Linked DNA regions of Tribolium castaneum. The protein of the gene in region 1 interacts with the protein of each later gene in a biochemical or structural test. Links are inferred from orthologs where the notes say so. Each region holds a gene or a part of one and is shown in the gene's direction. Other genes may lie near its edges. The genes, in order: Cdk1, RpS3, Rpa2, CrebB and runt-related transcription factor 3.

Region 1 (4,074 bases):
TGAACAGAGGGTGAAAAAAGTCATTGCTTTGAAGAAAAAACTTTGCGATGGCACTGATAAGAGTTTTGTTGTTATTAATCAGAAAGGGATTGATCCAATGAGTCTTGATCTTTTGGCCAAGGAAGGTATAATGGCCTTAAGACGAGCCAAAAGACGCAACATGGAAAGATTGGCTTTGGCTTGTGGTGGAATCGCTTTAAATCATTTCGATGATATGCAAGAATCGCAATTGGGTTATGCTGGAGTTGTCTATGAACATGTTTTGGGCGAAAATAAATATACTTTCGTTGAGGAATGCAAAATACCACAGTCGGTCACCATTCTTATTAAAGGGCCCAATAAACACACTCTCACTCAAATCAAGGATGCTGTGAGGGATGGATTAAGGGCCATCAATAATGCCATAGAGGACAAAGCCTTGATTCCAGGTAATAAAAAGACAAAACTGAATTAAAAAAAAATTAAATTATCCTTTTTATGAGTTTCTACATGGGAATTTTTGCTGAATTTCATCATAAATCTCCCAAAAAATCACCAAATTTGTGTATTTTTTAAATTTTGTAGTCAAGAATTGTAAAAAATCTAAACTATCGTTAAATTTAGGCCGTTTTTCAAGCATATTTGCACAAAACTACAAAATTAAGCCCAGCATTATATTATTTTTGAACTTTTTTTAAGGTTCCAGCGCATTATTTTTCAGTCAGAAACTCACTCATTTCCCGAAATTAACAAAATATCTAGTTGCTTAATGGATGACGTCACAGTCATTTTGTGACGCGTCTTAAAAATGTGCGTTACTAGGCTTTGAAATTGTAAATAGGGGTCAATGACCTGACCTGGCCACACAATTGTTAATTTATTAGACTCACAATGCGTTTTCCGTTTAAAATAGAGCTCAAAAATTGAATTTACGAGTTGCTTCAACTACTCCCATCACCAAAAACCCAACTTCGGTACTTACTTGTCAATGTTGAAAATCGCCGTTTAGATCAACACATCGGAACACTGAAAGTCTTTGAACACTTTTGCACAAACATTTGCACGAAATAACCGATTTAACAGCGATTTTTCCCGAATTTACTAAGCGGTAAGCGGCCATCACGAAATTTGATGCACCGCCAATTGTTTCGCTACCAACCGTACCAATAAAATCACTAAATGTCATAGCGCTTAATTCAAATTGATTTTGCACACAAAACAGTTTTTTGTGATATTTTTCAGGCGCAGGGGCTTTTGAGGTGACCGCCCACAAAGAATTGATGGCTTACAAGGACACCGTTAAAGGAAAATCGCGTCTTGGAATTGGTGCTTACGCGGAAGCCCTTCTTGTAATTCCCAAAGTTTTGGCAACGAATTCTGGTTTCGATGCTCAGGTTTGTGTGATTTTCTCATTGATTGTTTTATAGTTATTTGTTGTTCTTAGGATACTATTGTAAAACTTCAAGAAGAATCTCGTAACAATAAGGAACCAATTGGGCTTGATTTAGCTTCAGGACAACCGATTAATCCGAAAGATGCCGGAATTTTCGATAATTACATCGTGAAGAAACAAATAATTAATTCGTGTTCGGTGATTGCAAGCAATTTATTGTTGGTTGATGAAATAATGAGAGCCGGAATGAGCAGTTTGAAAGGTTAAATGGATTTTTTTTGTCAGTAATTTTATTCACGTATTAATGCTTGATTTTGTAATTATTATACAACAATAATAAAGGATTTTAACACCCATTTTTTGGCCAAAGCTATTATTTGGCGATCGTATAGTAATTTTGTGTGTCTGAAGTTGGTAATGTGTGTCTATTTACGCCAAAAAAAAGACAGGTTATTGTGATTGACGTGAGTGCGATAGAGACGGGGATAATTGTACCCGATTGGTTGGTTCAAAAATCTCCAACGAACTTTCTCCATATTTCTTCAAACGAGCCGTTAAAAGTGTGTAAAAATTAACAAAACTCGTGTGCTTTGAATAAAATATCGTGTTTGTGGTCGTGTAGGCATTGCAATTTGACGTTATAAACGTCATTTTAAGTGGAAAGTTTGGTTATATTGGGGCAATGTCGAAACAGGGGGCCAACATGGATGACTTCCTCAAGATCGAAAAAATTGGTGAAGGCACTTACGGTGTGGTGTACAAGGGCAAAAACAAGAAGACGGGTCAGCTAGTCGCAATGAAAAAAATCCGACTGCAACCCGAAGACGAAGGTGTGCCTTCCACAGCCATTCGCGAAATCTCCCTCCTGAAGGAGCTCACACACCCCAATATAGTCTCCCTGGAAGACGTGATGATGGAAGAGAATCGTCTTTACCTAATTTTTGAATTTTTGTCAATGGACTTAAAGAAGTACCTCGACACCATCCCACAGGGCTCCTACATGGACCCCCAACTCGTCAAAAGCTACCTCTACCAAATCAACGAAGCCATTCTCTTCTGCCACCAAAGACGAGTCCTTCATCGCGACCTTAAGCCCCAAAATCTGCTCATCAACTCCGAAGGGGCTATCAAAGTGGCCGATTTTGGACTAGGGCGCGCCTTTGGGGTCCCGGTTCGCGTTTACACGCACGAAGTTGTCACTTTGTGGTACCGCGCCCCCGAGGTGCTCCTCGGCTCTGCACGTTACTCGTGCCCTATTGATATTTGGTCTCTGGGCTGCATTTTCGCCGAAATGGCCAACAAAAAAGCCCTTTTCCAAGGCGACTCCGAAATCGACCAACTTTTCCGCATTTTTCGGTAATCAAATCATGTAACTATAGAAACGAAAACAACTTGCATTTTTTTTCGATTCAGGGTTTTGAAAACACCAAGCGACGAAATCTGGCCAGGGGTGTCCACATTACCTGAATATAAGGTTACGTTCCCTAATTGGAAATCATGTACTTTGGAAAGTCAGGTAAAAAATATGACTAGCGACGCTATAGATTTGTTGAAACAAATGCTGATTTATGACCCGGCCAAGAGGATTTCGGCCAAAAAAATCGCTTTACATCCGTATTTGCAAAAGGTTGATACGTCAATAAAGCCGATCCTTAAATAAGCGGTTAGGTTTAGGTTTATCGTGTTTAGTATGACTATTTTCTAAATATATTTGTTTAAAAAATCTTTTGTGTTTGAAAACCTCCTTAATACATCATGCACGAGCTGCACGTGTATATTGCTATGGTGATGCGTCAATGTAGCTATGGTAACAGTGAAAGGAAATGCGGGACAGTGGCGCAACATAAAGCAGATCATTTGGGAACATAGTTTTAATGAAACAATTGAAATAAATACATTTTGTGCAATTCAACAACGTCTAGAAAAATAAATTGTACCCTAAAGTTTAATTAAGCGTTGAAATGTTTTTTGTGTGAATTAATTTGTGCCATTTAGGCATTTATTTAAAAAATTGCATACGCTACTCACGTAACTTTCTTTATTTTCGGTGTAGTGTTTAACATGAGGACTTGTTTCGTAACAGAGAGTTGTTACATCGATACCCAGAGATTTTCGATAGTTGGCGAAATATTCAATATCCTTGAAAAAAAAAAAAAGATGATTGGCTACAATAGTTAAGATGGTTACCGTATAAGGAATAAGAATGTCTTTTTTCGAGTAGATAAAATGTTGGGGACAGTTGTTTTTATCATCTTTCAAGTTTTCTAACGGGTTCGATTGGAACGTTTTTTTCGGACTGATGTAATTGCTAACAACCTACAATAATAAATCAAGGAATATTTAAAGTTTTTGGTGCGAACGCACCTCGTATAACCAAATCATAGACAAAAACATAGTCATGAGGACTGAAGCGGGAATATTGTAAAGGGGCCTTCCACCCAAAATTGCCGAAATGGCCCGAAACAGACTCAGAACGCGACGTTTTCCGGGCGCTGAGTCGAAAATCACTCCTTTTATCTGCACAAACAGTACATTTTGTCCGATACTTTAAACAAACATTTTATGGCAAAGTTAACAGCATTTCAAGGCTTATTTTTGTATCTCATGAATAATCATTATACATGGAAAGTTTTACCTGAATCGGTTTGGGGCTCTTTTCAAGCGCCAGCGTGAAATTCTGATACAGAAAAGCGCCCCCATTT
Region 2 (4,725 bases), on another chromosome or scaffold:
AAGAACAAAACTTTAAAAAGCCTAAAATAACACCTTTATATTTATGTTACTTCTAAAATTTAATGCAATGGCCACTCTTAACAAAAATCTTGAACACAGAGAGGCTTTTTTATGTAAGTATAGTGCACATGTCCCTGGTTAAAAACATTTTTTTTATTTCTTTCTCGAAAATCTTGACGCAATATCGGATTTCTTATTTAAGCTGCAGCAAAATTTGCTATAAAAATGTACCAGTATAAAATTAGGTATAGCAACAAAAAATTAGGTAACAAAAGAGAAATGGCTCTGTATTATTTAGACGACTTTAAACCACTGGAACTGGAATCCGTTATGAAATACGTACCTGCTTTTATAAAGGGAAGGACCATGAAGCTTATTTATAAAAAAAATGTCTGACGCAACAACAAACTGAAGATGTGTGAGTTTTTTTCACAAAAAAAGGAGTTAATTATTACAAGCTCATTGGTGGCGACCAGTATTTATTTTCAAGGACTATGGAAGAAAAAATACAATAATAAAAAAACATTTATTCTCACTTGGTGTATAAAACCTATACATTTTCTACATAAAATGGATACACTTAAACATCACTATCTAAATAAATCACAGTACTCTTAATGCTGAGACCTCGTTTGCGATCCCACACATATTTTTATCCACAGCTATGTACAAAAATCCCCCGTCCCCAAAGTCCACACCCCACGTATTCCTGACAATATAATGCGGAATACTTGCAGTCAAATCATACCCAACAATCTGGACAGCATGATTTAACTTTGACGGATCCCCATCACAGTGATACTCAATAACACCTCCAATGTAATTCTGCCAAGTTTGCGCATTAATCGCAACAGCCAGGGGTCCATTATCCGCCAAAAGCCTCAACATAACATCTTCAGACCCCACTAATCTGAAAGTTTCCATAAGAAAGAATAAACTTAAAAAATAACTAAACGAACCCTTCACACATGAAGTCTCTAACATGGACACCAGCCGAGCCCCGGCCACATTTACCCCCATAATCGGCGTGTCTTTGAATCGTGAAATTTGTGGCTTTGATCCAAGACAGTAAAGTGCAAATATCGCCCCCATTGCACCCTTTGTTGTTACCAGCGCAATCGATAATTTCTTGCACACTGAGCTCCTCAGACTTGTTGGTTTTGATGGCGTTCATGGACTCCACAGTTTCAATAACAGAGTAGGCCCAGCAGGCCCCACAACTGCCTTGGTTGTAAATTCTAGTCACTGCGTTTTTTTCTCTCCAATCTACTTTATTAGGCACTGTTGCTCGTTTATGGTGGTGTCGTTTTGGCTCATTTGAATGCGTCTTCTGACTCAGGTTTGATTGTAAATAGGTTTGGAAAAATTCCTCTGGTAACAAGTCCGAGAATTTCGTTAAACCGTACAGTGCTGAACCATTCCTTTTTTTGGAATTCAAAGTCTCGATTGTTTGTAGTGATTGCTGAAAAGCGACGTTATACAACAAGGACACAAATTATAAGTTTTACCTTAAATGCATGAAGACGGTTTTGATACACAGAAGGGTCATCGTATGTCTTGTTGAACCTTTTCAAGTACTCTTGAAATTGTGATTCGGCTTGGTCTGGGCCTTTTATTCTTATAGGGATAACGAAAAATAACAGAGCAATGTAGAAAATCGCTTGCAAGTAAGTGCTCCACGAAGCCATTCTTATCAAAACAGATATTTTGGTAACAATGATAATATTGAACTATTTGTCGCTATCGCCATGTTTATTAATTTGATTATCTTGAAACACAATCCTGGCCCAGTTAAGTGACTGAGTGGAACAGAAATTTATAATGAGGGTGAATGAGGTTTAAGCAGGTATTTTTTGATCCACATTGTATAAAATGTCACGACATAACCTCAACGTATGTTGTCAAACCACAAACATAAAAAATAGATGACAGAAATTAACAAAATTACCAAAAAAACTAGAGAATTTATTTATTTATTTTTGTTTTTAATTTATTTTTGCCTATGGTCTTACATTGTTTTACGCAACAGTTGCATAAATTATTCGGTCCAAGATCTTTCCCCAAGATAATATTTTACATTTGGCGCAACTTGTGTAGAATTACATTGCGTTTATTTTCTCAATTACGGCGAAAATATACGACAAAATTGAGATATTTTCAATTATTCGTATGCAAAATTGTCTGGAGAATTGATTGGCGTCGTAAATTCGTAATAGTTTTTCAAGTTATAAACCGAAATAGATTTTGGCTATTTTTGCATTTGTTAGCAATAATAATATTTTTGGAAACTACCAGTAGCAGGACAATGACCTTTTTTTAAACGATAGATGATTAAAAAGAGTTCTGAACACATAAAAGTTCATAAAAGTTGTTGGTTTGGTTGGAGCTACTCAGATAAAAAAAAAATAATTTTTTGAAGGTAAAAAAACTGAAAAAAGAACAGTCTTTTCATTACGTTATTTACCCGATATGCAAGAAAGTTTTCTCTCCAAAAATTATTCAAATAAGCCGCCTTGTAAGCGTCCTCTATCACATCCCTTCCCAATTAGGTCGACTTCCGCTCGCCACACGTCAAACCTTTTCCATTTAGAACGTCAAAATGGCGACTCCAATTTCGAAAAAACGCAAGGTAAATACCAGAAATTGGCCTTTCCATCCACTTAAACATGTTTAACTCTTCATTAGAGCCCAAAATCTTGTAAAATAAGCACACATGTTTGGGCTAACATTCATGTTTACTTGTTCCCCAAACCATAACCCAACATTTTCCCACATGTGGTCCCCAGTTCACCGACTTGATGTTGCGCTTATTTGTAGTTTGTTGGCGATGGCGTTTTCAAAGCCGAATTGAACGAGTTCTTGACTCGTGAATTATCAGAAGATGGGTACTCCGGGGTTGAGGTCCGAGTCACCCCAACTCGCACGGAAATCATCATCATGGCCACACGTACTGACCGTGTTTTGGGGGAGAAGAACCGTCGTATTCGTGAATTGACTTCAGTCGTACAGAAACGTTTCAATTTCCCCGAAAACTCAGTCGTTTTGTATGGCGAGAAGGTGGCCAACAGGGGTCTGTGTGCCATTGCACAAGCAGAGTCTCTTAGATTCAAATTGATCGGAGGTTTGGCCGTGCGCAGGGCTTGCTATGGTGTTTTGAGGTACATCATGGAATGTGGCGCTAAAGGTTTGGACATTTGGCTCAAAACGTATTTTGAATTAATTTAGTGGTTATTTTGCAGGGTGTGAAGTTGTAGTTTCTGGAAAACTGCGTGGCCAGAGAGCCAAATCGATGAAGTTTGTTGACGGTCTCATGATCCACTCTGGGGACCCATGCAATGATTATGTGGACACAGCCACCCGCCACGTCTTGCTAAGACAGGGTGTGCTGGGAATTAAAGTAAGTTTTTGTAAAATTATTGGTGTTTGTATGATGCTATTTTGTTGTATTAGGTCAAGATTATGTTGCCGTGGGACCCCAGCGGCAAAACAGGCCCCAAAAAGCCTCTGCCTGACAATGTCTCTGTTGTGGAACCTAAAGAGGAGATTTTGCCTGCCTACCCCAGCAGTGAAATCAAAGCAGTCAAACCTGACGCACCACCAGCTATTCCAGTAGTAGCTTAAAGTTATCATAAGATTAATTTTCAATAAAATTCTGGAAAGATAACTTTCGTTTTATTTTAATACCAAGAAAAATGCCCTTCCTGTTTCAACCTTATTCCTAATTTTGCCATTGGGAATGTTTTCTCCCTTCTAAAAAAAGAAATTCCTCTAAAGCAGTGAGTCATTAACTGCGACGTGTTTTATCGACATTTCAGAAAATTAGCTAAACTTTGGAGCTACGTAATTTCCAACTAAGTAAGATTTTACAAAATGACACGTAAACAAAAATTTTGGCGAAGCAACTAATTGTTGAGTGAAAAAGGCAAAAGCAGCGTAGATAATTTCCGTTTCTTTTTGAACAAAATATGGTTTAAAAATGTGCTAAAGTAAGCATTTAAAAGACATCGTGATTCTGTCCGTTTTTAAAGGAATTTCGCAAAATAAGAGAGCTTAAAGCAATTTTTAATTTTCGGCCTGTTTACTAAATGTTTATCTCTGAACTGGATCATAGTTCGTAATAACAATAACAAAAATAAAAAATGGGAATAATGAAGAATAATGGGAATAATGAAGAGTATTTCAATAAAACGCCCTTTTTTAAATATTTTTTTATTGTGAAATTACAAACTTTTGCTTATTAACATAACAACATGACATGGAGAAAATTTAATTCGAATGAGTTTTACAACAGAAACCTCCATGAGCACAATGCATTTATAACGATATAACAAAACTACTTTACACCATCCATACTAAAAATTAATAAAAAATCATTCCTGGGTTAAAAGTATATAAAAAGTAACGGACGAAATTTTGCAACCATACCTCAAATTCGTGCAAAAAATTGCATGAACATGTACCAAACAAGTGCAAATAAACAATACTAGGCGTTAAAATTACCCATATCACGAACATTTGATATAATAAGGATACATGGAACAACTAGCTCACTGCTGATGCTGGGCTTGCACCTGGGGAGGTGCTAACTTAACAGTGAAATTGATAATCCCTAGCAAGATTGACTTCACAAAGGAAGGTAGATTGGGCTTTGCTGCGGTCTTTTCGAACAAGATTCTGAGTTCATGGAACATGTTTCTATTGTAAGGGTTACGCCTTGATGTGTAC
Region 3 (3,591 bases), on another chromosome or scaffold:
TTTAATTTTTGTTTTTAAATTAAAATGTTCCAACAAAAAAATTTTTCTTGAATCACACTCGCATACGCTCGTTGCATAACGACAGTCCTCGAACTTTAAGCTTGATTTTTCGCACTCGTATTGTTAATAACAATTGTTATTAATGCATTGTTTATATTTTTTGTAAAAAATATGTAAGACCTACCGGTGGCGCCGCATGGGGCGTCCAAGTAATCGATAATTTTCATGTCGTGCACCTTCATTACGGTCAGAAAGGCCGTTCCGGGGGCCACTGAAATGAAATTCCCGTAATAAATTCGCACAACACAAACGCCCAGTTCCTTCAGTCTTTCAATGACTTGTTTGACAAAACTCAACTCTACGTATCTCTCCATTGTTCTAGACGCGTTAATTAGAGCGACCGTCGGTATAGAGGGGTGAAGGCCTAAGAAAACTTGCGATTTTTTATCAATAATGTGTCTAAAGTTTGACTCAAAATCGGACAGAACTAAACTTTTGCGTTTTCGGGTGCCCGACCCATCGTGCGTGTAGTTCAAAGGAACGGTTATAATTTGATCAATTATTTGTTTATAACACTCGCAAACATCATTGTACAAGGCGCCGCTTTCCGCCAAGGCCCCCAGAATTTTAGCCAGGAGGATAAACCCGCACGAATATCGCTCCTTTTTAGCGCTCTTATCGTCATTAATTGGGAGTAGTTTAACTCGTGTCCGGCAGTCCGTGTTGGCCCGTTCGACCGCCAACCCAAAATTGAACAAATCAGCGTTTGCTTGCACTATCACACAAATCCCGCAATTGTCCCCTTCGTTCAGCTCCTTAATCGTGTGCAGAATTTGACGGGAGCTTGGCACCGTCTCCTCCCCTGCAAAACAGTAAGACAGGGCCAATAATTCGGTAAATTACCCAGAATGGCAGCCGTTAGCATCCCTTTGCCCACACAAACGGCGTGAATTAGGTCAGTCCCAGCGACACCGCCTGACAATAGTCGGACCTTTGACAAGTTCCTGTAATCCCTTTGGATCACGACATTGCCGTAGTCGAGCAAGACCACGTCGTGGTTGAGCGCAGTGAGCCCCAGAAGGGCGTCGCGCACCTTCACCGGCCCACTCCCCACATCAAGGGGGCTCTCCATTTAATTTTGAGATAACCTAAAATAACACAAAACAAACAGGAAAGTGGCGCCCTCTACATCAGTGGCCCCCGACTTGTGGGCCGGTTGTTTTGTAAAAAATATTTTTTTTTCGAAAATTTATTTTTGAATTTTGAACAATATGTAAAAATCCCTAGTTTTTGCCCGTGCAAATGGAAAGTCCCTACGAAGGTGTCAGGCAACTGTCAGAATTTCCCGCCACTCTTAACCGCAATTGTTGATTTTTATTAAAACGTGAAAATGTTTAGTGTTGATCAGTTTGATATCAGTAACAACGGCGGTTTCGTAAATGATGATAACCAAGGGTCCACTGCCAAGAAAAAACAGGTTTGTGGGGCGCTTTTTGTGCTTGTCTTTACTCCTCTGATTGCAGCAAGTGAGGCGCATGCAAAGTGTTGTCCCTTTGTTCATTTCGCATATCCTTGAGTGCACCGATGAGGAGTTCAATTTGTACGGGATGCCGGTCCATTTCGTAAGTTTTATCCCGTTTTTTTGTGTTTTTTGTATGAAAAATTCAGGCTGATGTCGTGGGGGTTTTGAAAGACTTTGAGGTCCAGACGACCAAAGCCACGTGCACCATTGAGGACCACAGTGCCTCCATTAAGGCCATTATGTGGCTGGAGACCGATAACGTAAGTAGATTTGTTCGTTTTCGTTTCGTTATTTTTGCCAGCAGGACACTGTGACGGCCCTTCCCCCCGTCAAGGAAAATTGCTACGTGCGTGTTTTCGGCTCAGTGCGCACCCAAGACGGTGAAAAAATGATCATGATTCTCAAAATCCTTCCAGTTGATGATTTAAACATCGTCACAAATCATCTCTTGGAGATTATTCAAGCTAAATTATACGCTGAAAGACTGGCCGATGGGAGGCTCCCAGCTGCTAATTTATCGACCACTGTGGCCACAACGTCCACGTCAGCTGCTGCAAATAATTCGTCGGGACTTAAGCCGATGCAAGTCAAAATTATCAATTTGTTGAAACCTATCAAAAGTAGGACTGGGTTGAGTAGGAGCGAAATTATGCAGCACTTTGGAGCACAAGCAAGGGAGGCTGAGTGCGTATTTATTTACAGGTGGGGTTTTGTTTGATGGTGTGTTCCAGAGTCGCTTTGGATTTCTTGCTGGATGAGGGGCATGTGTATACTACTGTTGACACCGATCATTACAAGGCCACAGATGCGGATTAAATTTGTTTCATTTTATTTTTTTGTACACCCTGGTTGCTTTACATTTTTCGTATACTTTAAATACATTTTCCTTTGCAAAAGCTCGTGTTTCTTTTACCTATTAATCCTCACACATCCTTATAAAGGTCTTAGAAAAGATTAAAACCACTAAAGTTGACTTTTTTTACGATGAGTTAAAAGTTGATGGATGAAAAAAATACCAACATGTGCGGTTGGGTTATTTTATGAACTCATTTTAGTTTCTGTACCTTTACGGACGATACAGAAACAAAAATAAAAGATAAATTAGAGAAATTTCTTTCAGTTGAGTTTAAAGTTCAGGCAACCAATTATACTCACATTGAGATAAATTGTTGCTAGGTGAAAAATAAAGAGTACGCGTGTTTTTTTTTTCATGTACAAGGTAGTGTGGATAAAACATTTTAGCGAAATCTTTAAGTATTCGTACCTTCTTTATTCCAAAAAATACACAATTACATCGTAGCCTTTGTTTAAGGAAAATTTAATAATGTAGGCACAATTTTTTTCGATTATTATTTGTGTAATAGAGCTAAAGTGTTTTTGTACTTTGTGGAAGCTACAAATAACATGTAAAATATTCATAGACGAGACTAATAAAAGTTTATTTCATTTCGAGATTTTGATTCTTATTCCCCTGCATAAAATACTGATAAAAATAGCTGTCAGTATCTTCCAGGAGTTGGTTTGGGCTTCCAAACTCCACCACAACTCCACCATCCATCACTAAAATCCTATCAGAATCCAGAACAGTATTTAACCTGTGTGCAATGGTCAATACTGTCGACTCTTGAAACTTCCGTCGAATGGCTAACTGAATCAGTTCGTCTGTTTTGAGATCGATATTAGCCGTAGCTTCGTCCAAAACCACAATTTTGTTCCTTCTCAACATTGCTCTAACCAGGCAAAGCAGTTGCTTCTGTCCAACACTAAAGTTCGAACCCCCTTCTGAAACCTCACTTTCCAAGTCCCGAATCACACTTTTCAATTCAACGTCCTCAAGGGCCGACCACAACTCAGCGTCGGTGAATTCATCAAACGGGTCCAAATTTTTCCGCAAAGTTCCCAAAAATAACACGGGGTCTTGCGGAATGACGGAGATTTTGGAACGGAGGTCTTTGAGTGGAATTGATTTGGTATCGACGTTGTCGATCAAAATTGTTCCCTCAAACGGGAACAGGTGGAAAAGTGTGGAAACCAGAGAGGATTTTCCGGCACCTGTTCGACCGATTATT
Region 4 (4,425 bases), on another chromosome or scaffold:
AGGTCAATAGTTGAGTAGTTATTCTACATACTTTTCCTTACTGTCCCACGTGAAATCGTCTCTAAATTTGGATATGCAACCCATAAATTAAGCGGTTTTTAAAAACACAAATAGTATTTCTCTACAAATGATGCAGGAATTTTTCCCAAAGACTAGGTTAAAAAGAAATTAACGTTTTGATAATAATTAATTATAATAACTAGACTTACTTCGTCGCAAATATTTGGTATTTATGACTTCGATAAGCTCCAATTAAAATTTCAAAAGCAAAAGCAAAAGATGCGGATTAATATAATTATTCTTGCTTTTGCAAATTGGAATAAGAAAGTTCATTCAGTATCGTTTTGTTTAAATTTAATTAAATGCTTGACATTTTGAGCTGTATAATTCTTTTCTCAGCGGATTATACAATTTTGCCATAATTTATTTCTTAGATCTACTTAACCCAAGACTAAGCAAGAGTTAATTATGATACGAGGGCAGTTCATAAGTTATTGTCACTGATGTAGAAGTATTTTTTTACTTTTTTGAGTTAGTCCTATAAAAATGTTTGATTGGAAGTGTTAGAAACAATAATATTTTAACATCCCTCGTAGCAGAATCACATACGTTATTATACAGAGATGTCCGCTTTCATAACTAGAAGTCGACATTTTGACCCTGGTAGCAAAAGTTGCCACACCCTATAGATTAATTTGAAAAAAAAACGGGAATTTGACGTCAAATGAAGGATATGACTGGTTTTTCCCCGACTCAAATTCTCCGAAATTTACAATTGATCGACAGACTAAAAAATGAGGAAAGGTCTTCAAAATACGTACGTCTTACGTTTAAGAAAAAATCAGGGTATTTATTCCTTATTTAGTTCAGTGACACAACTAGATTAATGCTATTCATTTCTAATCATGTTTATGTAAAAATTATAACTTTTTAAGATAACAAATGACGTAATTGAATAGTATTGCACATTATTTAGGAGAGGATACTTTTATGTTTTCTAGTTTTTAGTCGATAATAATTATTGCATATTTTTTGTTCTCAAATAATCATGCGAATAATTAAGGAGGCAACGCACCTAATTAAATTGTAAATAACTTCTTCATCCATAGTGAAATTGACTAATATGTTATTGGGTAACCCTCTTTTTTAAATGCAAAACCTTTACGTACTGTATTCAATTATCCGGATTATTTTAATATTTCATGAGTGTTTCACAATTTTGCGAAGACTTTTTTCGAAATTTGTATTTGGGTTTGTACCAGATACTGTATTGTCGATTGCATTCCTAAAATTATGTGAAGCATGCAGTACATACTTCCAGAACAAATATTATTTAATGTTTTATGTATAATGCCTACAAACCAAACATTTCAGTTATTTCTAATCTTATGATAAAAAAAGGACACTCCTTTATAAATGTGTAGGTTCCTGGCATGTAGAAATTTAATGTTATGCAAAATAAGACAAGAAAAAAATGTTTTCAACCATGAAAAAACTCCAGTAAAACGTATTGCTTGATCGCACGTACTGCCGGTTCATTTATTGTTAAAATAAACAGCTCGATTGTTGATTGTTTAAAGTGCTGTTCGTTATCATTATGACCTGTTTTGGTATTAAACAGGTTATAATAATTAAAAAAGTCAATATTTGTAAGCAGGGTGGTAATTTTTAAAATAGGTTGTTACGTCACGCGACTATCACACGGTTGTTTGTCCGAAAAGAACAAGTTCTGTGTTGGTTTCAATAATGACGTCACAAATTTATTAATAAATGTAATCGCGTTCGCTTCTCGCTGATGGTGTTTTTGTTGCGATTTTGACCAAGTGTGTTTGTTGTTGTTTGCAGGTGCTTTTGTACTTAGGCAATGGAAGGGATAGTGGAAGAGAATGGAGCAGTTGATCCACTGGCCCCATCGCCGGACCCGCAATCACCCATCGCCTCGGTAGGGGTCTCAAACTCACAGTCCCATCTGATGACAGCTACTAACATTGTCCAACTAACTTTGCCTACTCAAACCCAAGCACAGGTAGGGGTTTTCCTGCCCCTCCGTGCATGATCCTGGTCGTCTACCATTTTTCGTTTGAGCTAGACCGAAAATTTTTGCATCAGACACTCCATACTCTTGTGGATGAATTTTTGCAACATTAAAAAATTAAAAACTAAAAATTAAAACTAAATCTAAAAAAAATACTATTAATTTCGGTGCATATGACAAATGCCTATTTGGCGAAAGAAATGGGCAAGTCAAAAAGGAAGAATTAAAAGTGAAAGTAATAAAATTAAATTGAAATAAGTAGGAACCCAATAAAAAAATTTGTATTTAGGTATACAACCCTTATTTATTTTTTGCTATCTTTTTGTCTGAGTATTGAGGATAACATCCGCATTTCTGATAATCATTTGTCCATGCCTACATGAATCTACAAGTTCCGGAAGTAATCAGGATCATCAATTGTTCACAAAAATATTCTAATCATAAAAATAATATTGATTTTTACTAGCCCTAACCATTAAATATGTTCGGACAAATTATGCTAATAAACATATAAAAACCATTAGTGTAGTTAGTTCTGTAATTCTATAAGTACAACCGCAGTTAATATGTTCGGTACAAAAGACAATTTACAATCGAGAAGTAAAGGTTGGTAACAAATAATAATGTTCGGACAGAATGGGTTTTTGATATTATTATTAATGGTTCATGGAAGAAAATTGCTTATTTTCACTTAAAGAAGTTGTTACATCTTGAGTAAAACTTGCACTTTTTTATTTCAATTGAGCAAAAAAATTGAGTCTTGTATGAAAATAAGTTGTGGACATGCAAATAACCTTAAGGGGGAGAATTCCTGTCTTTCCAGGATGAGTGTCTTGCCGTCAATATTTTATGTACTTTACGTCAACTGCCCAGGAGAGGGTCCATCAGTAATTATTTAATTAATAATATATTTTTCCGCCCGGGTTGAAGGACACACGTTTTTTTAAACTAATTCTTTAAGCATAATTTTCTGCTGACTTCGAATCCGAAGTTTTGTTTGCAACTGCGTTCTGTGGAAATTGTTGAAAAATTTACCTTTGAAATCGTAATCTTGTCCAATTTTCTCAGTTTCCTTTTCTTAAAATTAAAACTTGTGTATTTGCATTAAAAATTACATTCTTTATGCAATCTTTTGCAAAAAAAGACGTTTCTAGCTTTATACAGAAAAAAGATATAACGAAATAAATGAAAAATCTGACCAATTTTAAATTTTTCAAAATTTCTACAAAAACGTCTTTTTCAGTATAAAGGCAATTCCAAATCGAGTCCGCTTTTGAGGTATGTGCCACTGAATTGAGGTGAGCACACAATAGAAGGAACTATCGCTGATATCATAGGCCAGTACCGCAAGTTCATTTTAAGAGTTTTACGAGTTAACGATTGACAATTTCAAGTTAAAACAAAAGCCACATTATTCCTAAGAGTCCACTTCAGAGCTAAAAGTATTTCATTTTCTCTTTAATACTTAATGTTAAATGGAAGAAATGTTCAAAGAACGCCATTTCTTTTTCATTTTTCAGGATTTATTTTTTTTTAAATAAACAAAGCACTGATTGCATTTTAAAAAACTTCTCCCCTACAACCTGAGGAGAAGAATGTAGCCTGTAAATAACTTTCAAAAACGTTACTTAAAATGGCTGTAAAACACCGAGGAAAATGGCTGAAATTCAACGCTTTTTAGCGTGGGTATCCCCCTTAAAATAATAAAATTATCATGAAACAATAGAGGTGTCCTAAATCTTTTGGCGATAGACCATTAAAAACTTAAAGTATACTAGTTATTAACTAACCATTTAATTTTTTTATCCTCAAAGTGATTTTATTTTTCAACAAAATTGGGCAATATGTAACCGCGAGAACTAGGTAAAATGGTTTGGTGGACATATTTTAACTGTTCTAAATAGTCCGAACCTAAATATCGAAATGAAAAGCCATCTGAGAACTCACTCAAAAAGTGCAACAGTTCACGATTTAAAAAATTAAATTAAAAAATATGCGCCGGTTTTACCTTTGCATTTTGTTGGAACCTAGTAAAACTATCCCGGTCACTATTCGAGCAATCGTAAGAGCAAAAGGGGACTTAATTGAATATTAAACTTGTAAAACAGTTATTTGTCCAAACATTTAGTTAGCAAGCTTTTCTGTTTAATTATATGTTTTTGTTTATTAGTTATTGTACTCTTCATTACACAGAGGCATGTTTTTAACTCTGAATTCAATTTTGAAAGAACATACATCAAAGATCATAGAACTCAATGATACAAAAATTTCATGAAAATTAATTTTCCTTTACTTTGACTAACCTTTCAATATTTAATTCACAGTTTGAGAATTTTCAGCAGCATGTGGTACAATTAGTTGTATATTCACATCGCAAGGCAATTGTGTGT
Region 5 (5,128 bases), on another chromosome or scaffold:
GTTATATCTCAAAAGTAAAACCATTGTTTTTTTTTCGTACTTTCCTTACATTAAAAAAATAAAACAGTGCCATTTCAGTTTTCTATTTTTTAATTATAATAGTTTTATGTTCAATGACGATTAAAAAATTTCAATTTTGAAATAGTTTCTTTTAGAATGGTTTATGGTAAAATTGCAACAGCGTATTTAAATTTTGAAAAATTAAGCAAAAATTGAGTTTCTCTAAAAGAAAAAAATTCTGTGTTAAATTAAATTCTAGCGACACTTTTTGGGCTAAGAAAACTCACCAGAAACTCTCAATTTATGCTCCATTTTACTCCAAAAAATTAAATGCTTTGTTGCAAAATTCTACTATGAACTGTAATGAGATATATATTATTATTTTATTTTAAAAACTGATAACTACACAAAAATCAGCGACAATGTAATGAATGATTTATGAAATCCCAGCCATTTCTATCGGAGGCGAGATTTTCACAAATTTATTTTAAGATTTTTACGAACTAACTGTCGACAATTTCTAGTTAAAACAAGAGCAACTTTGTAGTCAAGAGCTTTTATTTTTTAACTTTTATTATTATTGATCGGAATTATTAAGTAAACCACTTTTTTTAGTTTTTGGCATTTTTTCTGAATTAAATAAGGTACTAACTTTTCCATTTACAGCCTGACTAGAAAAATGTATCATATAAATAATTTTCAAAAATGTCTGCAAAGTACAAAAAAACATACTCTGGAAATATGATATTTTAAAAACGTAACACAAAAAAATTACAAATTACAAAATGTTTTAATAAAAAAAAACTTAATGGAGATCCTTTTTTATTGACAATTTTAAATTTCCTAATCAATAATATCCTACTAATAATTAATTATTTTTGGGAAAAATAGTTTTGTGTTTTCAATAAGTATAGTTATAGATAATAGCGTCTAGACTTTGTATCAAATTAAACATGCCATAGCTTGTTACAAGTTAAAAATCTTTGGACAGGTAGCTGGTTTAAGTAGTTTTTAACTTTGGTTTGGTTAATTATTTAAACAAGTATGACAATCTATAAAATGATTTAGTTGTACTGATGATGAAAAAATTTTCTTTGGTCAAATTTCTGCGCTCAGCATAATTATAAATAGTTCTCTCAAACTGTCAGCATTGCACGCATTCCGTCTAATTCTGGCCATAATGAGGTTTTCGGTCGCCTAATTAGCTCACGCATTGTCTTCCCTTGATCACCTAATTAATATATCCCTCCCCTTATGCGTGAACTTTCGTAAAAAATCCGAAACCCGTTAATTACCTCCGGTAATTTGCATGTAGAGATGCTTTCGCCCTGTCGTTATCAGTTGAAAAAAGACGCTCGCCGTCGGAGCAAGACGCCGAGGACGCCGACAAGGAGCGTCTCAGGCCATTACCGTGCACCAGAGCAAGGTGGCACCACCAAAAAAGCGTCTACGTGATTCTTTCAAGACGCCAGAAGAGGACCACGGCATGCCGGCTGCCCGCGTTGGAGAGGGACACCGGCGGCAAAAAACCGAAAAGACGTTTAGAAGTTGCGCGCGCTTGAGTTCTACCCCTTGGTAAACCTCTAAGAAACGACGCTGGTTTGAGGGTAAAAATCCGGCGTCTTTCCTGGTTGGCGGCGGCGACAGCGGTGGCGGTCTACCTCAACACGCCCCGCCTACTTCACCCCTCGACCACCCACACAACGACCCCGCGTCTTTACTTTTACACTCTTTCTTAATGTCAGAATAACTCGCGACGCGAAAAGAACGAACGCGCGCGCGGTTGCCGAGTGACCGACCTGTGGCTTAAAACCGACTTTTCACACACACGCAGTAAGTAATGGCTTGAGTAATTAGAGGCGGCACGCACGGGGCTGCCGAAGGGCCGATGCTGTGTTATTATTTTTCGGGGCTGGGGCGCGCTCGGCAGTCGGATCACGTTCTGGTCCAGTTTGCCAGCGAGGGGCAGATCAGCTGATTTCTGATTCATCTTTGAGGCACCCTCCGTTGTTTTTTATTGAAGCGACGAATCACTTTGTGCTTTACGGCTTAGGGGAGATGTCGCCGATAGGGAATGTTTCAAATGATGTTTTAGTTTTTGTGGATTTTTGCGCAGTACTCGAACATGAAACAATATTGCACGATTAATGAGTTATTTGGTGCGTACAAATTTGTAACTGCCCACAGTTTTATAAATATAAACTGATTTGATATGCAACTTGCGTAATTGAAATCAAACTATCATACATTTCGAAAATTGATAATCAGATGAAAACATTTCGTTTTTAATTAGGTCGCTTATTTGGAATTTCGATTTGTTTTTGTTTAAAGCTTATAATATAGTTTCAGGAACAATTGGTAATAATTGGAAATAAAAGTTACTAGTTTAAACAGTAACATAAGAGTTGCAAGAAGGGGGTGTTTATTTCTAGACCTAAACCATCGAGTGTGTGTAAGGCTTCTTGAGGTATCAGTCTCGCCCTACTTGTACAACTAATTGGTTTACTTGTTAATTTGTTGTTGGTTTAATTTTTATAAAAAAATATTTTTGCGCTGAAAAATAATTATGGCTTTATTACATTTTATTAGTCCTTTTCCTATTATTAAACGTTTTTTGTGCATTATTTGAGGTAGAAAAAACTTTAATTGTTTCTAGTAAATGTGCAGTTTCCATTGACATTACCTCGCGTCGGAAAATTTCAAAATCATTGTAATTTTTTTTTTGTAATTTGCGTAAAAATAGTTAAAATGTATTTTGAACTAACTGTTTTAAAAGAATTAAAACTTACATTAATTGTATATAGGATATATATGAACTAAAGAAACTTACAAAAGATGCTTCCAGTGCTTTTCTAGAATTCACAAAAACTTCTGCTATGATAGTTGCATTATTAACATTAAATAAAAAAAATAAAAAAAACACGTTATTTTTCTATGACTCGATGTATGTGAATTTTTTCAGAATTTTTCTACAATTACTTAAATTAATTGTTACCTAGAAAACAAATAAAAAATAAAATATTTATTCCCTAACTTCGAAAATGTGAAATTTTAATGACTAAATAACACGAAAATTAGATATTGAATATTGAATAAGACGACTAAAGTTTCTTTTATATAATACTTGATCAAGCTGCTAATGTTCTTCATATATACTTAGGCAATAAAGTCTAGATCATTTAATTAAATAGAAAAGTATTTTTGTTCGTAATTTTTAACACCGCTACTGAATTCAATTTTTTTTGAAATTATTTTGACGTATAACTCTACAAAATTTTTGATTTATTGTTAACTGGAAGAGTACGTAATTTGTATTCTTTAAAATTTAAATTTAGAAGTATTGCCAAAAGACAGCAGTATTTCTGGATCAGCTGTTTAGATAAGCGTGTCAAAGTAAAATTTTTAATTGGATTTTTCAGAAAAATAATAAATAGAATTGTTGTCATTACTTATTATTCACGGCCAAATAAGTTCGTATCTAGTTTTAAATATTTTTAACCGAGTGTTAAAGGCTTAAACAACTTAGAAATTTTAATGTTTTTTTGAAGAAACCTAAGTGTGAGATTTTGTGCTTCCAACGAATTAGAATTGTCGCGTAATCAAGCTTATTTTTAACAATATAAAAAAAATTAAAAATACCAAGCTGTTTGAAATAAAAATCTTAATCGTTTGGCTGGCGAGTTTTTCATTTTGAGGCTTTGGTGTTTTTATACGTGTTTTGGTCTGAGAACGTAGTCATAATTTATTAGGCATTAGATTTTTTTTTAATTTTTAATGGTCATTTTGTAAATATTATTTCTAACATACATTCAGTTTTGAAACGACGTTGATATTTTTTTCATTTTTTTTTACATTGGAAACGCCATAAAATGAATGTGTTTAACCAAGTCTTAAACCATGTAGGTAAAAAAATATTTACGTGTAGGCCCTTCCAATTAATTTTTTATATGTTTTTGTACGAAATAATAAAGCTTCTTGTAAGCATGATTTAGTTTAAAACAAATTTTACTTTTAGACAGATTTCAATTTTTTTTATTTTTTCTTTTTTTTTTCACCTTCTATTTTGTTTGTTGATTATTTAAATGTTTTAAATAAATGGGTTTTACTTAAAATAATTTTAATTATTCAAAATGTTGTTGGCTTAGGTTAGTTTAGGTGTGGGTGCAAGTTTTTTAAATTTCAAAATATTACTATACAGAGTGACCCAGAGGTGTGTAACCGGTCTATAACTTTTTTGTTATTTGAGAAATATTACTATGCTGTTTTTATTTTTCGATCGATTGACTTAAAGTACACAAACAAAAAGTATTTTTATTACACCCAGGGTGTTGTATACACGGTGGTGAACTAAAGTTATACTTTTTAAATAGAACATTCCATATATTTTTGCATAATTAGATTCTACACAAAAAAATAATGTAACTTTTTATAAATTTTTATGGGTATATGTTTTTTCGTTTCGTATTCAACTTTTGGTTATAAAAAAAAACAATTTTTGAAAAATCACTGCGAAGTCGTCTTTGAATATTTTAGAAAAAAAAAATAGAAAAATTTACAATACCTTGCAGTGTTAACAAATAGATGATTTTTAGTTAAAGCACGCTGCTAATATACAGAGTGTGCCAAAACTCAAAAAGTTGATTAACTCATTTTTTTCAACTAGAACACCATGTATTTTTTTATGTATTGATAGCATTTTTGATAAGCTTTCTAACGATATGAGGTTTGCATAGGAAATTTAAAATATTTTTCGAGGTTTTTTAAAAAATTATTTTATTACAAGAAAATTTGTTAATCTAGTATTTTTTCTTAAAAATGTACTAATGTGACTAAGTACATTAGTAATCTTAGTATTATTTGATGCATTAATATATTTTGCTCATCAAGAATTAATAATAAAATAAAAAAAAATTAAACATTTAAATAAATACTTCAAGTTTGGTTGTTCCAACTTTATTGTTCTATACATAATCTAGAACATTTTCAGACTGTCCAAAAAATATAATTTTTCCAAATTTGTTTTCAACAACTATTTCTTCAAATTTGGAAGCAAAAAATAGTCATTGTAGGCCACTTCGAAATTTACTCTAAATTTGAGTTAATTGTATCAGAAAAAGTCGTTTGAGTA

The links.
Region 2: of the proteins of Cdk1 (region 1) and RpS3, one has a biochemical effect on the other in vitro, tested with the Homo sapiens proteins (2 studies listed by BioGRID, with this or other methods). The link is inferred for Tribolium castaneum from reciprocal best matches to the Homo sapiens genes CDK1 and RPS3.
Region 3: of the proteins of Cdk1 (region 1) and Rpa2, one has a biochemical effect on the other in vitro, tested with the Homo sapiens proteins (2 studies listed by BioGRID). The link is inferred for Tribolium castaneum from reciprocal best matches to the Homo sapiens genes CDK1 and RPA2.
Region 4: of the proteins of Cdk1 (region 1) and CrebB, one has a biochemical effect on the other in vitro, tested with the Homo sapiens proteins (2 studies listed by BioGRID). The link is inferred for Tribolium castaneum from reciprocal best matches to the Homo sapiens genes CDK1 and CREB1.
Region 5: of the proteins of Cdk1 (region 1) and runt-related transcription factor 3, one has a biochemical effect on the other in vitro, tested with the Homo sapiens proteins (2 studies listed by BioGRID). The link is inferred for Tribolium castaneum from reciprocal best matches to the Homo sapiens genes CDK1 and RUNX1.

What each region holds. Positions count from the first base shown.
Region 1 is NC_087401.1:17,534,264-17,538,337, reverse strand, and holds Cdk1 (cyclin-dependent kinase 1), read left to right. Parts: upstream 1-1,846; 5' UTR 1,847-2,054; coding exon 2,055-2,728; intron 2,729-2,785; coding exon 2,786-3,032; 3' UTR 3,033-3,099; downstream 3,100-4,074. Other genes in the region: CCT6 (T-complex protein 1 subunit zeta), read left to right, coding at 1-428, 1,222-1,373, 1,424-1,639; transmembrane protein 53, read right to left, coding at 3,350-3,511, 3,560-3,688, 3,737-3,889, 4,008-4,074. UniProt on the Homo sapiens protein: Plays a key role in the control of the eukaryotic cell cycle by modulating the centrosome cycle as well as mitotic onset; promotes G2-M transition via association with multiple interphase cyclins.
Region 2 is NC_087402.1:7,605,401-7,610,125, forward strand, and holds RpS3 (ribosomal protein S3), read left to right. Parts: upstream 1-1,804; 5' UTR 1,805-1,846; exon of another isoform or gene 1,847-1,920; intron 1,921-2,496; exon of another isoform or gene 2,497-2,549; 5' UTR 2,550-2,599; coding exon 2,600-2,629; intron 2,630-2,817; coding exon 2,818-3,184; intron 3,185-3,239; coding exon 3,240-3,397; intron 3,398-3,450; coding exon 3,451-3,621; 3' UTR 3,622-3,664; downstream 3,665-4,725. Other genes in the region: cathepsin O, read right to left, coding at 604-910, 960-1,462, 1,509-1,688; Kr-h2 (Krueppel homolog 2), read right to left, coding at 4,548-4,725. UniProt on the Homo sapiens protein: Component of the small ribosomal subunit. The ribosome is a large ribonucleoprotein complex responsible for the synthesis of proteins in the cell. Has endonuclease activity and plays a role in repair of damaged DNA.
Region 3 is NC_087399.1:4,631,398-4,634,988, forward strand, and holds Rpa2 (replication protein A2), read left to right. Parts: upstream 1-1,390; coding exon 1,391-1,477; intron 1,478-1,523; coding exon 1,524-1,622; intron 1,623-1,668; coding exon 1,669-1,782; intron 1,783-1,826; coding exon 1,827-2,206; intron 2,207-2,253; coding exon 2,254-2,338; 3' UTR 2,339-2,418; downstream 2,419-3,591. Other genes in the region: triokinase/FMN cyclase, read right to left, coding at 185-862, 904-1,132; probable multidrug resistance-associated protein lethal(2)03659, read right to left, coding at 2,961-3,591. UniProt on the Homo sapiens protein: As part of the heterotrimeric replication protein A complex (RPA/RP-A), binds and stabilizes single-stranded DNA intermediates that form during DNA replication or upon DNA stress.
Region 4 is NC_087395.1:6,448,833-6,453,257, reverse strand, and holds part of CrebB (cyclic AMP-responsive element-binding protein 1), read left to right. Parts: intron 1-1,845; 5' UTR 1,846-1,864; coding exon 1,865-2,026; intron 2,027-2,032; exon of another isoform or gene 2,033-2,270; intron 2,271-2,324; exon of another isoform or gene 2,325-2,555; intron 2,556-4,425.
Region 5 is NC_087399.1:3,632,909-3,638,036, reverse strand, and holds the start of runt-related transcription factor 3, read left to right. Parts: upstream 1-1,600; 5' UTR 1,601-1,833; intron 1,834-5,128.